Linked DNA regions of Astyanax mexicanus. The main gene of each other region encodes a partner of the protein of the gene in region 2 in a complex. Links are inferred from orthologs where the notes say so. Each region holds a gene or a part of one and is shown on either strand. Other genes may lie near its edges.

What was found.
Region 1: vps39 (region 2) and vps41 share a complex: the UniProt entries of both Homo sapiens proteins name them as parts of the homotypic fusion and vacuole protein sorting (HOPS) complex. The link is inferred for Astyanax mexicanus from reciprocal best matches to the Homo sapiens genes VPS39 and VPS41.

What each region holds. Positions count from the first base shown.
Region 1 is NC_064408.1:103,282,602-103,290,377, reverse strand, and holds the start of vps41 (vacuolar protein sorting-associated protein 41 homolog), read left to right. Parts: upstream 1-4,764; 5' UTR 4,765-5,030; coding exon 5,031-5,051; intron 5,052-5,411; coding exon 5,412-5,450; intron 5,451-7,776. UniProt on the Homo sapiens protein: Plays a role in vesicle-mediated protein trafficking to lysosomal compartments including the endocytic membrane transport and autophagic pathways. Acts as a component of the HOPS endosomal tethering complex.
Region 2 is NC_064421.1:20,441,321-20,449,156, reverse strand, and holds the start of vps39 (vam6/Vps39-like protein), read left to right. Parts: upstream 1-4,832; 5' UTR 4,833-5,423; coding exon 5,424-5,496; intron 5,497-5,712; coding exon 5,713-5,778; intron 5,779-5,861; coding exon 5,862-5,926; intron 5,927-6,410; coding exon 6,411-6,453; intron 6,454-6,591; coding exon 6,592-6,686; intron 6,687-6,918; coding exon 6,919-7,017; intron 7,018-7,105; coding exon 7,106-7,198; intron 7,199-7,836. Other genes in the region: transmembrane protein 87A, read left to right, coding at 50-156, 294-352, 434-537, 689-768, 1,656-1,720, 1,810-1,871, 2,423-2,453, 2,593-2,634. UniProt on the Homo sapiens protein: Regulator of TGF-beta/activin signaling, inhibiting SMAD3- and activating SMAD2-dependent transcription.

The DNA of each region.
Region 1 (7,776 bases), on a different chromosome or scaffold from region 2:
AGAAAATGAATTAAATCCAACAATATTAGAATTGCTGAAATATCACACACTTACAATGTGTGGTGTTTTATCTGTGTTTAATAATGTTTTTATAGTGTTGGTATTTCCTTTTGCGAATAACATTTTTATTTTATTTACAATAATTTACAACAGTTACACACCAGTACACACACACTTCTCTCATACATTCACATAAACATACTGTACACATAATCACTTACAGTATAACTACTGGAGGTAAACAATAGTCCCACACCCATTTTCAAATATGATTCTTCACAAACCAAATAACATCTGGCCAGATTCTAACCGTTTTTAAAATAGCTTGGCTGTAGAACGCTCCAGAATCAAAATGCCTAAAAAATTACTGTAGCCGAACGTTCCTCAACAGAATATTATGCAATATAGCATACAAATATACTATAAATAATAATAAGAAGAAGAAGCATAAGAATCTTCTTTTATATTTGTTACAAATAAATACCAGAATCATTACCTAATAACAAAAGTGCTGGACAGTGTTGGTATTTCAAATTTTCAATTATAAAGAAAAATGCATCTCTATTTATAACTTGGATGCATAATTGGATGCAAATAATAATTAAATAAATAGCCTATGTTGTAAAAGCTTGCATGGAACTTCAAATCAGCATCCCTGGTCAAATGGTACATTTTGTTAATTTTCTAAAAGTAAATACATCCTTTTTATTTTAATGAAAAATATTTTCTGTCCCTTTTAGAACCAGTTCCCATTTCTTTTTGTAGAACCAGTAGTAGAACCAAGAAAAAGTATCCTATTTATAGTGCATCTATGGTATTTATAGTGTATCAAATTTTGCTTAACTTTGGAAAGCCGGTGAGTTTTTCCAAAAGTCCAAAAAAAACTAAATGTTTAAAACATACTGAAAATAATTTTAAATCACAGACTGGATTTTTTATATTTCAGTAACAATGTTCAATTTCGTTGTGTCGAACAATAATGTCTTTAAAGCATCAATTCTTTTAAAAGTCAGAGTTGTCTTAGACGAACATCACAGGTATAAAATCCATGTAGTAAAAAGAAGTGGAAAAGGAGTGAATAATTCAGCAACAGCCTAAAGGTAGACTGACCAAAGCCAATGATGTGGTAAGCAGGGGAGCACTATGCTTCTGCTCATCAATTATTAGCAGTTATACTAAGGATAATGCATTGATGAAGTGACCCCGACTTCAGAACCTGAGGGCTCTTCAAGTATTTACCACGCTGTTTGCCAGGAATATAATACAGATGAAATCTACAGCTATAATGGATGAGTGGACATTAACGCGGTGTCGAACGGTGCAAAAAGCACTCTCTGAAGTAGCTCATAAAACACAGACGAGACTGATAGTGTATTCTGTACGAGGCCGGGGTCTGCGCTACGAGATAAGCCTGTGTGTTTCATCTAGCATTTTTCCTCAGATCCTGTCTTGTTTACCACATGTACTAGATTTGGTCACCACCGCCTTTAACAGACATTACAGGCAAGAGTGTAAAAGTCTGACCTCGCAACAATTCAAAGGGAAACCATTCAATATATCTTATATATTTACATTTCAACTACCATTAATGTATGAATGAAAAGTGTGAGCCCAGATGGCATTAGAGTATTACACATCAATTCTGACAAAACACAGTTTGACACAATAAAAACATATTTTCCATGTCTAATTATTGAAAATTATAAAAAATTGTATTTATTATTAATTGTAATTGTATTGATTATTAATATAGTTATCATACAACACTGAAATGACTTGTGTAGGTGTAGCTCACTTACATCACACCTACATCATACACTGGAAAACAGCATTATGGAAATTGCCTTTTTCCTAAATTGAATAAATATTATGGCACTATTACTTGTTTGCTATTACTTGTCAACTTATTGTTTGCAGTATTTTATCTTCTCCATGAATCACCGGGATCTGATCTCACTCTGCATGATCATATACACTCACACAATACTTGTAGACCTACATCTTCATACAGTTGTTTAATCACCCTTCATTATATCAGTGGAATAAAATGTTCTTAAAATGACAATAATATTGTTTGTTGCAATTTTTGTGGGATAATATATTGTCCAATAAAAACATTTATTGTGCCAGGCTTATTCTTTTCTTATCTTTTTTTATCAAAACATTATTTTAACAACATTACATCACTTGATATGCCTCTTCCATGCATGTCTCATTGTATCAGTTGCTGTTTAGAATCTGCTTCAGACACAATTTGTCTACAGTACAGCGAGGCAATGGGAAATCTGCCCAACAGCCACGAACTGAAGGGTGCCAACTTTTTGTGTGAGATGTGTTGGCCATGTCTGCAAGAATCATCGCTACATCATCTGCAAATGCTGCCAGCAGTGATATTTGTCACTCAACACAATTTTAGCTTAAATTCCAGCAAGTCAATAAATATATATAAACATACTGTGTATGTACAGTAAATTTTACATCCTACTGAAGATTTTACATTAAAAATTATGTTAAAGATACAACTGTGAAATGTGATGTGAGTCATGTTATCCCTTTCATGCATTTTTGTAGTTTTTGGGTCATACATTCCAGACTTAAATAAGAATAAGAACAAAGCTAAAACTTTGATTCAGATTTAATCTGAATTTTGCATTCAATGTATGGGTCTAACAAACCAACATGCCATAGTATGCCCTCAATCCCAAACAGCAGTTTCCATATTGTGGCCTGTATTTCCTGTATATGAATATGGTAACCCTGCCTCTTGGCCTGCCACACCACATCAGCATAATCATGTAAGACGTATTGACAGCCTGTCGCAAATGATCCTATCCCACGGCCGTGTATGGCAGCGGTCTGTTACGAATCAAAATGTAAGAATGTCTAAGTAAATCTAATCAAATGTCCCGTCCTCTCAAACGCATAGGAATAAGCTTGGGGTGAGGGTATAAAAATGACTGTTTCTCCTCCGGGTCATTAGGATTATACAGACAGGGATGCTGAATATTCGGACAGTGTCATGGAGCCTGATGTACACTTACCTGGGGATGAATCATGATTAACTCTGAATGATGACCTCTTTTTGCATCTCCTCAGAATCAGGCAAGGCACATGCCCAGACCCTTAAAGGCCTACTAAAAAAGCATAGCATAGATATCATAATGTACACAATTTAAACACTGAATTTAGAGGATTAGTTAATAAATCAAACACTAAACCTTGAGCCTTCAGCATGTGTATAAGTGCCTTAAAAGTTTTATATAATTCTGCTTATGTTGTGCAGAAATGACAATCAGTCAACAGTAAACTAAACCTGGATTCTTATGTGAACGTTTTATTCCACATAAAGATGTTAAGACGGGGTGAGACGTTAAGTCCAAGCGCCTAAAAATGCAACTTACAGCCTGAAGCCTGTGTGTTGCCACAGCACCAGCTAAGGTAGAATGGTAAATTAGCAGTATTTAATGTAAAATAGTACATTAGCAGCATTTAAGGTGAAATGGTAAATTAGCAGCATTTAAGGTGGAATGGTAAATTAGCAGCATTTAAGGTGGAATGGTAAATTAGCAGCATTTAAGGTGGAATGGTAAATTAGCAGCGTTTAAGGTGAAATGGTAAATAAGTAGCATTTAAGGTGGAATGGTAAACTAGCAGCATGTAAGGTGAATTGATAAATTAGCAACATCTAAGGTGAAATGGTAAAGTAGCAGCATTTAAGGTGGAATGGTAAACTAGCAGCATGTAAGGTGAATCGGTAAATTAGCAACATCTAAGGTGAAATGGTAAAGTAGCAGCATTTAAGGTGGAATGGTAAACTAGCAGCATGTAAGGTGAATCGGTAAATTAGCAACATCTACGGTGAAATGGTAAATTAGCAGCATTAAGGTAAAATTGTAAATTAGCAGCATTAAGGTAAAATTGTAAATTAGCAGCATTCAAGGTGAAATGGTAAATTAGCACCATTCAAGAAGGACTGGTAATTTTGCAGCATTTAAGATGGAATGGTAAATTTGAACGATCCAACTTCTTCATGGAAGAGATTTACTGAAGGCAGCTACTCACACATGCTGGTAATGCTGATTGAACAGCTTCGCCTTGTTGGTCATGCTGGTCAACCATTATTTTGTCGAAAATATAGTATTTACGAGATCCGAGCACATAAACGCCACCACACACTCATATTTGCCAGTGGGAAACTCAGATTGTTAGATAAGCCTAGAGTTTCCCAGTTGGGGGCGTGTCAGTAACAAGAGGTCAATAAATTGATGCAGACAATTTTGTAAACTGTATTGTAAACTGTAAACTGTTTATATTTCTGTTATTGCTACAACACTTCAACACTTGCAGGTTGTTATTAGCTAACCAATTAAATCAGTTGCAATACATTAAAAAAATGAATGATTCACTGTTCTAATGGGATAAAAACATCACTTACCTGAATTTCCGAGGAGAATTGAAGGTAGCAGAACAGCATGGTCATGGTGGGCATGCTAGTCAACCAGCATAATTAATCCTGGTTTAAGTATGCTGGTTGTTGTTACTGGTGGTCTCGCTTCTTCAGTTTGATCATGCTTGTCAGACACAAACATACCATATGCTGTTAAGCCATATCAAGCCAAGTATTTTTTCCCCAATGAGGATAAGAAATACAGAGAAATATTTTTTTTGAGGAGCAATACCTTTGGTCGTCTTACAAGCCAACTCTCAGAAAGCATGAGTGGGATTAAACTACATTTCCCAGCATGCCCCTGCTCTTTCCTTGTGTTGTTGTCATGTGACCGTGCTCATGACTAGTGTCAAAATGCTGCAGCTGCTTTGCTTTAGCTTAAACTGAGGATTTTACTGTGTTTTTACGGCTAAGAAGAGGTGCAGTTTAACAGGAGAGCTCGGTCACGGCTCCCTTTCGCCTTTTCTTCACATTATAAGATTATAAACGGAGAGTTTAGTGTAGAAACCGGATTTCTGCGGCGCCTGTTTCCTCTTACTGACGGATACTAAGGCTAACGCTAGCGGTTAACACTAGCTTAGCCATGTCGGAACTGGAGGAGAAGGTGAGCGTTCAGTTTAACTACATTACATTACAGACTGTTTCACCGAAAATACGCGATTAATGTGCTTATTGTGTGAACTGTTATTACGGTGACGTATGGACAATGCTAGTGTCAACAGTTTCCCCTGACTGTCTTCATATCAGCTCTTAGCTTCAGCTCATTACTAGTTATTATTATTATGGTACCACTACTACTAGTAGATCCTATTTATGTACATTTACACGTCTATATCCTATATAGACACTGATGTGTGTGGTAGCGCTAGTAATTTTTCTATTCACTTAACTCTTGCTAGACTAACTAGGTAATTTAACTGAGCTAGATTTGAATGGGAAGCTAAGACTGTGTCTTTTTTTCCAGGAGAGAAAACCAAGTGAGGAGTCCACAGATGATTCAGAGGTAAGATTTGGATTTAGGGAGCATATTATATAAACAAACCCTTGTTTACTTTGAGTTTAAATACAGTAATCAGTTATTATTAGGGCTGTCAATGTTAAGGCGTTAATGCATGCGATTAATTTGGAATCAGTAACGTGTTATTATTTTTTTACAAAAATTAAATATGCCACCAAGTTTCACCCCAACTTCTGCCGTAATCTGCACTGCCCAGCGCACAGATTTCTTTTTTCTGGACTGATCTGTTGTGGAGAGATCATGATCTAGTCTCAGTCCAACCCAGCTATGAAATATACTTATTTTTAATTGAGTTAACTGCTGATAAGGCACAGTTTACACACGCAATAATGTGCAGCGTTCACTGCTCACACCTGTGTTGCACGTCCCATTGAAAAAACTGTGTTTAAAAGCGCAGCTCCAGCACCAGACAGCTCTGGCCAATCAGAGGAGACATGTGCTTGTGTGGTTTATTGGTGAGCATTTTGGTGCACAGGTTTATGCCTGTGTGAAACCAAACCAAACAGAGGAAGAGTAAACAAACTCATCAACTGATCCAGAGCATAGAAACAAACTACAGATGTAAAAAGGCCTTTTTATACTCAGCAAATTAAATTCTAATTTAGAATTCCTTACAATCAAGCTGAGATGTTTCAAAAAGTAAAAAAAAGTTTTCTCGATCCAATTCATCATGCATTATTCATTCCAGCGCTCCATATTGGCTTTATCTCCCCTCAAACATACAAGTATATACTAGTATTTTAATTGACACCACTAATATAAATATAATTGCATTTTACATTTTCTACATTCATTATTTTATTTACTTTTAAACATCCACTATAAAATCTTTATTAGGGCCGGGAAATGTATTGTAAATATCTATACAGTATTTTTGAAAGTATTTTGCACAACATAAAAAGAAAATACCATAATGTATTGCATCTGAGTGTGATTTAAAAAAAAAAAACACATTACTGTGTGGAAATATGATAATGATAATGATATCATCCAGCCCTATCTTTCAGTTTAATAAATCCTACCCTTAATTGACAATTCGTTCTCTAAATGTAGCTAAACAAAGGGAATCATTTATTAAACAGATTGGTAGGAGTTGCTTCATGTATGAAGAAATTATTTATTAAATTAAAGGAATGATTTAAGTCTCTAAATAATTTCTCTACCTTGATACTTTAAAAGCTTCATACAGTGCAACACTTTCTAATACAATATTTGTGCTATGTGTGAAGATGTACCATAAGTACACTTATATTGGAGGTTATTTTTAATATATAGACATATAACAGTTTGTATTCACATTTAATTCATTTAAGTAAAATGTCTCTGTCAAAAGTTACAATAGCCACATATACAGCACTATATTGTACTGTATTTCACGGTTCAGTGTGATTTAACATATTAAGTGTTACAATATTGATTAAAGTGCATTAAGTGTAAATTAAAATAAAACATTCAAGCCAACGAATTAAGGCAGAATGTCTCTCCCTGAAGCAGTAACTTCCTCTTTACCTCTTAATCAAGAAACTTCCTTTTTATCAAAAAATGAGAGTTGGTAGGTAAAGCACCCTGTCTCATGCTGTGGCTAGCACAGAATGTTAGCATAATACATTTAGAATGTTGAATGCTGGCCATAGCATTGTATTAAGGCAGTTGTACTTCGGACTACACAAGTAGTATCATCAGTTTTCATCTAAATATCCTTAGGATATCAATGACATTTCAAAAGTGATTTTTGCAACTTCTAGTCCCCTATTACGCAATGCTACTTGTTTATGTACTTCCTCTAGGTTACCTAAATCCAACCATCTTTTTGTAATGAGCTGTAATGGTCACAGACTATTCAGTTGTTCCAGCAAAGCATCACACCAGGTGATTGGTGAAAAGAGCATTACTTTGATTACTTTGCTTTCTTTAAATAATTTTCAGTTTGGTTACTTTGGTCTTGAAATGTTTAAAAATATGAATTTATGGAATAATCTTGCATGAAGCCTATTATTACAAAAACACAAGGAACACAATTAATTACCTTAAAAGCTCTTGATAGTTTACAGCATAAGGTTAGTGTTCATTTAAGTTTAGAGGAGGTATAACATTTCAAAAATGTGAACACAGTTATTCACTGGAGTTTAAACTTGGAACTTGCCTACCTATTTATAAGGGTGTTTTTTCCTGGGTGTGTCCCAGTTCATTAGCTGGGGCAGCGGTAGTGTATATGACTGCTACACTGATGACATGGGTTCAATCCTGCCTAAGGATCGGTGTATTTTATTTATTTTTCCTTTCTTCTTGGGTTTACCTGCTTTAAATTCAA
Region 2 (7,836 bases):
CTTATGAGAAAATGAACCTGTCAGTGTCCTTAACAGCTGGATTCCACATTTTCATCAGTTTGTCTCAGACTACTCGCCTTCTGAAGCTTCGCAGAAATGTGGTGAAGCTCTCCTTATATCAGCACTTTACCAACACCCTCATATTCTCTGTGCTGGGTAAGTGCTATGTGTTTGCATGCATTTGGTAGCATTCGGGAATACGTGTTTAAAAGAATTGCCAATACAAGTAATAACAAGCCAAATGCATTATACTAATGTTCTACTTAATATTATACTTCTATATTATACTGTAGCATCTATCATTTTCATCGTATGGACCACCAAGCAGTTCAAGATTGTGGAGTGTCAGAGAGTGAGTAGGATATCGGTGAAAAACTCTTTCTAGTTTGTGATGTCTGTGGCTGAGATTGTGCTTTTGTTTTTGGTTCCTAAGGCTTGGAGAGAACTGTGGGTGGATGATGCTTTCTGGAGGTTGCTGTTCTCCACCATCTTGCTGGTGATTATGGTGCTACTGCGGCCCTCTGTCAATAGCCAAAGGTTAGCTGAATTACTGTGTATTATTGCAATGACCTTGAATGCATATGTAACCTTGAGTGATATGTAACCTTTCACACTGTCTGAAAGCTTGCATGATGTATCTGTAACTTATGAGTGTAACTAATGAAAAATGACCATATTCTTTGCATAGATTTTCCCATTCGCCCCTTATTGATGAGGAAGATGATGAGGATGATGAAGCGAAGGAACCTATGCTTAATGAAGCATTTGGTAAATATCAGTATATTGATAGAATTCGTTCAACCACAAAATACAAAAAAAGGAAATTCTGTTCTATACCCATAGTAGTATTTGTTTTGTTTATGTTGGACAAAAACATAGGGATGGGCAGTATATTACAACATGATGTTACTTATTTATTATGAAAAAAAATATTGTGACATTTGTAGCATTACAGATTGAATTCACACTCTCGATTAAAAAAGGAAAGGTGTTAATATTAAGGACAAATGGAGGAAAATAGCCCAAAAACAGATGAGAATCAAAACCTCCAAAAAACAAAACCTTAGATTCAAAATAAAAGCAAAAAGGGAGAAGAAAACAGAGAACCAGACAGAAACTAAAACTATGCAAAAGCACATGCTGAAAACTGTCAGAAACAGGAAAAATATGTCAATAACAGAAGATAGAAACAGAGAACAAGCTGATATAGTGCAACAGAAAATGAAAATCTGATATAAATATGTTGATCATGTTTGTCTATTGTCTATTGTTTGTTTATTGTCACATACATAGTCACACATGGTACAACTAGCAGTGACATAACAACACAAAACAATAAGATATGAATATAACACACACAGATGAAGTATAAAGAATGAAAAAATATACAAAGATGATTTAATGGTTGTTGTACAATATAGAGATCAGTTAGGCTTGTAATTCAGTAATTCAGAATGTGCAAATGTGGATGTTCAGAATAATGCTGTTCAACAAAGCAAGGAATTGTAGTGTTTGAGAGTCTGTATCAGACAAAACACATGTAGATATTTTTATTATGTTAATAAGATATTTTGCCCTCTTATTGTCATGCCCACCCTGCCCACAGTTTTTAAATGGAACAATGTCTCACGTGTTGCCATGTGCTCTGTTTTCAGAGGGAATGAAAATGAGAGGAGCAAAGTCAGACACACACGCAAGTCAAAAACTACTCGGCAAAGAGGTGAGAACTTAATATCCATGTTACACATACTTCTATGATGGTTGACCGTCACCTCACTTTTCTTTTCTTTCCTGTTCCGTGTTCTTTAGAGCTCCCAAGATGATGACCTGAAATGGGTGGAAGATAACATTCCTACAACTGTAGTCGATGTGTGAGTAGAGCTCCACTAACACCTTGCACAATATAAAGATGTTACCTACAATTAAACAATTAAATTCTACAACCATAGAAATAACCCTAGAAAATATGAATCCTGGTATGGAAAAAGCATAATTTACTCTCCCAAAATATGTCACTTTGTATAACGCTACCTACAGGACTATGAATACTGTGGGGAAAAAAAGAGAGAAAATGGTGGCATTACTCATGCAGCAGTGTTGACCGGTAGCTGTAAATTCTCAAGCAATGATTTCTTTACCAAGAAATTATATTGTCTAGTTAATTTTATTCTTTGGTGTCCAGTCTTTGTCAGGTTTTACGTAGTTCAGATCAAACACAATTGACTCTAATATTTAACTGCTTCTCAAGGCCTCCATTATCTGGGTCAGGTGTGTTAGCATTGGAGCTAAGGTCTGCAGGGCAGAATATCTACAAACTGTTGAAGCACTGGCCAGACCTGTGGTAAATCATTGTGTTTTGCTATAGGAAGTGAACCTATTTATTGTGATTCTAATTGAGTGCAACGCTTCCCTCTTTTTACAGAGCTTTGCCTGTGGTGTTGGATGACGAAGAGGTAAAGTGACTGCTTTTTTTGTGTCTCATGATCATGGTCACATTTTTACTCATTATATGCTCACAGTCAGATGATTCACAGTAGCATTACTCAACAGGCCTTAATCTTGTATGTGTCTGCCCACCCTTCCTCCTAACAGGAAATTCTAAACACCAGGATGGAGAGATCCAAAATGGAGTAGGCTTCATGCAGGTGCATAAAAGCAAGATATTTATTCCTCCAGTTCAGCTGAGAACTTATAAAGTGATGATAAATGTCACTCAGTTGAAACCCTTGGTTGGAGTACTGTGTTTTCATTTGAGACAGTTTCTGGTCTGGGGCAAAATGTGGAAATATGTCTCAGGCTAAATGTGAAATCTGTCAATCTTCTTTGCCATTTCTTATTGTTTTTGTTGGGTATTTTGCTGGGATTCTATTTGTGCAACTTTTCTTATTTAAGTATTTTTGTGCTTTCTTTAAGCATGTGGACAGATTTAATTTTGACTCAATACCATCCAAACCTTTTTAATAACCTAATCAGTACTTATACCTTAATGTCATTACCAGTTCCTAAACAATACTTTTTCCAATATCTTGTTTCAAATTACAAACAGAAAGTGGATGTGGCTTAAAACTGCAAGAATGTACAAACAGATTGTATGTTAGACAATCTGCAGTTATATTTGGTAACATGTGGACTAATTGGTTCAGTGCTGTTGATTACATTCGCTTCTTAGGTATTCAAGTTTGGCATTGCCAATACTCTCTCAAGTATTGATATTGTTCAGTCCGTGCCATGAAAGTATCTAACTACGATAACCAATCCTAGGTTTGACTTTTCATCTTTTTTATGCCTGATTAGAAGGCAGATTGCATAACATTTCAACACTGGCTATGGGTGTCTACAGTTGGGTTCAATTATTTTGGGAAAGAATTTGACACAGCTTGTCTTTTTTGTGTATAAGATCACTTGAAATTACACATTTATTAAGCATTTAATTATATGCATATATTTATGTTTTAAAGTTAATCATTCTTACATAAAAGATTTGTGGAAAGATATATTTTTTGTACATCAAATGCTTGTTAGCTTGTTTCTTTTTTAATTGCCTTAGCTTTACTGGTGACATGGGAAGGGGGTGTTGTGTTTGTCTCTGTTGAGGTTTGGCTGAAAAATAATAAAATTTACTTTGACTTTTTAATCATTGTGCTTTTGTTGACTGTATATTCATCACTATACACACTAATATATGTTAGAACATACGTGTTTATATATACTGTACATTAATGCTGAGCTCTAATGGGGAAAAAAGATGTTAAGAATTATGTTAATGTATTCAGAATCCACCAATTATGTATTTTAATTCAGTTTGTTACGTTTGGAAAAGAAATTAAACACTGAAAGATAAAATGGTGCTTAACAATGTTGCTATGGCCTGTAAATAATCAGCTAAATACTATATTCAGTTCAGTTTTAACATATTTACATTTAGCATATTTACCAACTTACACAAAATAATTTCATATAGCTGTAATGACTGTCTGTTGGGGTGTTTAACAATAAGTGAGTTGATGAAAAGAGGCATTCTTGGTCATACTTTACTTTAAACATATCAATAAAATATTACACGAAGAAACACTGCAAACCAAACACAGCATAACATGTGTATGTCTGTATGTATAGGCTGAGGTGTAACGTGTAATTCGGCTCTCGTGAGCTTTGACGTATATCACGTGCCTGTCACGGCGCTGAAAGCGTTCACACAGCTGAGCGAGAGTCACGGGGAGTTTGATTCAGTCTAAGGAACCGATTCTTTCCAAGCCTAAAATTCTCGAAGCCTCAATTCCTTCATATAGCTATAATTATATTTTGCTGGGTAGTTCAAAAATGTCAACATGATTTTTCAAGTCCAGAAACTTTTATTGTAATTTTATCTGAGTACAGTACAATGGAATTACGTTCCTTTATCTTGTACAATATAGACAACAAAAGGGCAAACCTGCCACAAACTGTTCAACATAGCTAAAATACTACAATAAATACAACAGACATGAGACATACTAATAAAATAGACAGTGCAGCACCAACAAAGTACTGTCTAAAAGTGTGTTTCAGAAACTAAAGTGGTCTCTTAATTTTTTTTTCCGGAGCTGTATATAGTAAGTAGTAGTGGAAAATGTCTCGTGTTATTCTAGTTCTTAAGTCAAACAAAACAAAACAAACAAAAACAGATTAAATAGACCATTTGTTGCATTGCTTCTTTAATATTATTTTAATCATAATTAATGAATACAATAGTAAATTCAATCCGCTTTGTTCTGTGTGTGACTTTGTGAGTGTGTAATGCAGTTGAACCAGTTCGGTCTGTTTACTGGAAGGAATCGGTTGAAATGAATGAATCGTTTACGAGTCGGTCACAGCTCTTTGCGAGTTGGCTAGCTAGCTAGCGAGCCTACAAACTGTCAACACCCCGAACTGGCCTGTTTTACCGGGGGTTTGGTGTTCTCTGGGAATAGCTAGGGGGTTCCGAGGTTGGCACGAACTTATCTGAGTCGGAATATGGGATGAAATGTATTTAGTTCAGTTGTGGCTTTGTTGACACTCGGACTAAAGGAGCTAGCTAGCGTTAGCCATGGCAGCTCTATACAGCAGCGCTAGCTAGCTAACTAATTAGCCGCGCCGCTAGCGCTCACTGTACCCGTGATATATTCACTTTCTGACGCTGTCACACTTTTTACATTCGTGGTGGAAATACGGGAGATGGAGCAGAAGGGTTAGCCGAAAGTTTAATTAGAATTAGTGGGGTTGTGTAACTGGTATGTGAGCTCTGAGCACTGTTGCTGTGAGCTAGGGAACGATAGCTAGGCTCGATAAGGGCTTATTTTCAGTTCATCAGCTTCCCGGTTCGCAGATGCCACCTAAACCTTACAGTTCCACTTTTCTTTAAAGTCGTTTTATTTTCTAGCTTTTTGATTGCTAAATCTGCCGCCATGCATGACGCCTATGAGCCCGTACCTATTTTGGAGAAGTTGCCCCTACAGATCGACTGCCTTGCGGCCTGGGGTAAGATTGATCTTTATCCTTGTGGGAATTTGTGAGGAAATGCTACAACTATCAGATAGCATTGCTCATCTGCTTATCGTCTGCTTCCCTTGCTTCAGTTGCATTTGATACTGTAGCTAAAAGGTTTTCCCAGTTCATTAACACAATTAAACAGACGTTGTGTTTAAACCACCTATGTTGAAAATGTTCTACAATATGTTCATGTTGTTTATGCAGAGGACTGGCTGCTTGTGGGTACAAAACCAGGCCACCTCCTTCTCTACAGAATCAAGAAGGATGCAGGTAGGACATTAAGAGGCATAAGACTCTCTGATTACTTTATTTATAATTTTTAATTCTGTCTCTTTTGATCTCACTTCATACAGGTACGAATAGATTTGAAGTAACACTTGAGAAATCCAACAAGAACTTCTCAAAGAAGATACAGCAGGTATGCTTGTTTCTGTCTAAAAAGGCACTTGACATTTTGGGTCAGTTTCCCAGGGAGAGATTAATTTAGGTTGTGGACTATATTTCCTTTTTGAATGGAAAGTCTCTATTCAAAATGCTATGTAGTTTAGTTGTTGTTTAGTGTTGTTTTACATGCACATTTCAAATAAAAATGAATATAGAAGTGAATTATACTTGTCTTTAAATCTACTTACCACTATACAGCAATGGTGGGAAGTTGCAGTCTTGGGGGTGCTGGATTCCTGCTTTTTTATTTTTCTTGCATAAGTACTCCTAACTCAACTCACTTGTTAACTGCCAAGTTTAGAAGGTTTGTTACAGCAGGGAAATGTGGTTTGCCCATCTTTGTGCAGGAGTATGTGTGTTTACAACAAATGTAAGGATGGTTACCTTTTTCCTTTTGGCTGGAGTGCCCCCTTTAATATAAACATGTGACTTCTGACAATTCTCTTTTCCACCACCAGCTGTATGTTGTTTCCCAGTACAAGATTTTGGTCAGTCTGCTGGGTAAGACTTTACGTTTATTTTGTATACTGTTGTTATTGAATATGTGTTCTCACTATAAATTTTGCTTTAGCAAGTTTCAGTAGTGTTAACACACTGTGCATCATGTAATAATCAGTTTTGTATCCTTGTTTGTTTCAGAGAATAACATCCACGTCCATGACCTACTCACTTTTCAGCAGATTACTGTTGTATCAAAGGCTAGAGGAGCTACACTCTTTGCTTGTGACTTGCAGGTCTGTATGGATGTGCGCGTGCGTGTGTGTGTGTGTGTGTGTGCTGTTGTCAATCATGACTCATGACTCTGCTGTTGTCAATCATGACTCTAAATCTTTCCTGCACATTGAATAATTCATTGTATTTATTAAACTACATAATATAACCAGTGTTGACAAACCAGTCTTTATTAATACATATTTCCCTCACATTCTTACTGCATGAAGTTGAGTTTTCTTGTGCCTTCCTTAGCAAACCTCCTCCGGTGAAGCAAAATTGCGGATGTGTGTTGCTGTAAAAAAGAAACTACAGCTGTACTACTGGAAAGACAGGGAGTTCCATGAGCTGCAGGTAAGTTTGAAGGTGGTAATTTATTAATTGTCTTTCTGATTAAATAATGTCATATTGCTGTTTCTTAAAAATGTATTGTGTCTTGTAGGGAGATTTAGCAGTACCAGATATTCCCAAGTCCATGGCCTGGTGTGAAAATTCCATATGTGTTGGTTTCAAACGTGATTACTACCTGATTCGAGTATGTTGAATCCATATTTTTAAAGTGCATTTATATATTTTTTAAATAGCTCAGCGAAAAAGAATCTGATTTACCCAGTTTCTATTCTTACCCCAAAGTAGCTCCATCCAAGACATATTTGGTATGTTTGTTCTGGTTCTGCAGTTTAGTGCTGCAGCTATGAGCTAACATTACATTAAAAAATATTTTACCTCTTCAAACCATATCTCAACCTTCTTTAAGGTTGCGCAAATCTAATGATTTAATTTAGGACGCACTATGACTTACTGTCAAAAGGATCATAACAAACAGTCATTGTGTTTAAATAGGTTTCTCTAGCATTTAGTTACTTTGTTCATTGTTATTGTTTATAGAAACCATATTGTGCTATAAACTAAATCAAGTATTCTTATTGATGACCTGGATGCACTTTAAGATAAATTTTTATTATTCATACAACATTAGCATTGTATATGAGTGCACAAACACAGAAGCAACGTGTGAACACCAAACATGTTAGATAATTGCAATACACTACAATACAATACGATACACTTATATAAACTTATAGTTTATAGTTTCCTTAAAATTTGTCTTGCATTCCACATTGGCTCTATTACAAGTACATTATCATACACACATTTAGACAAACATTATAA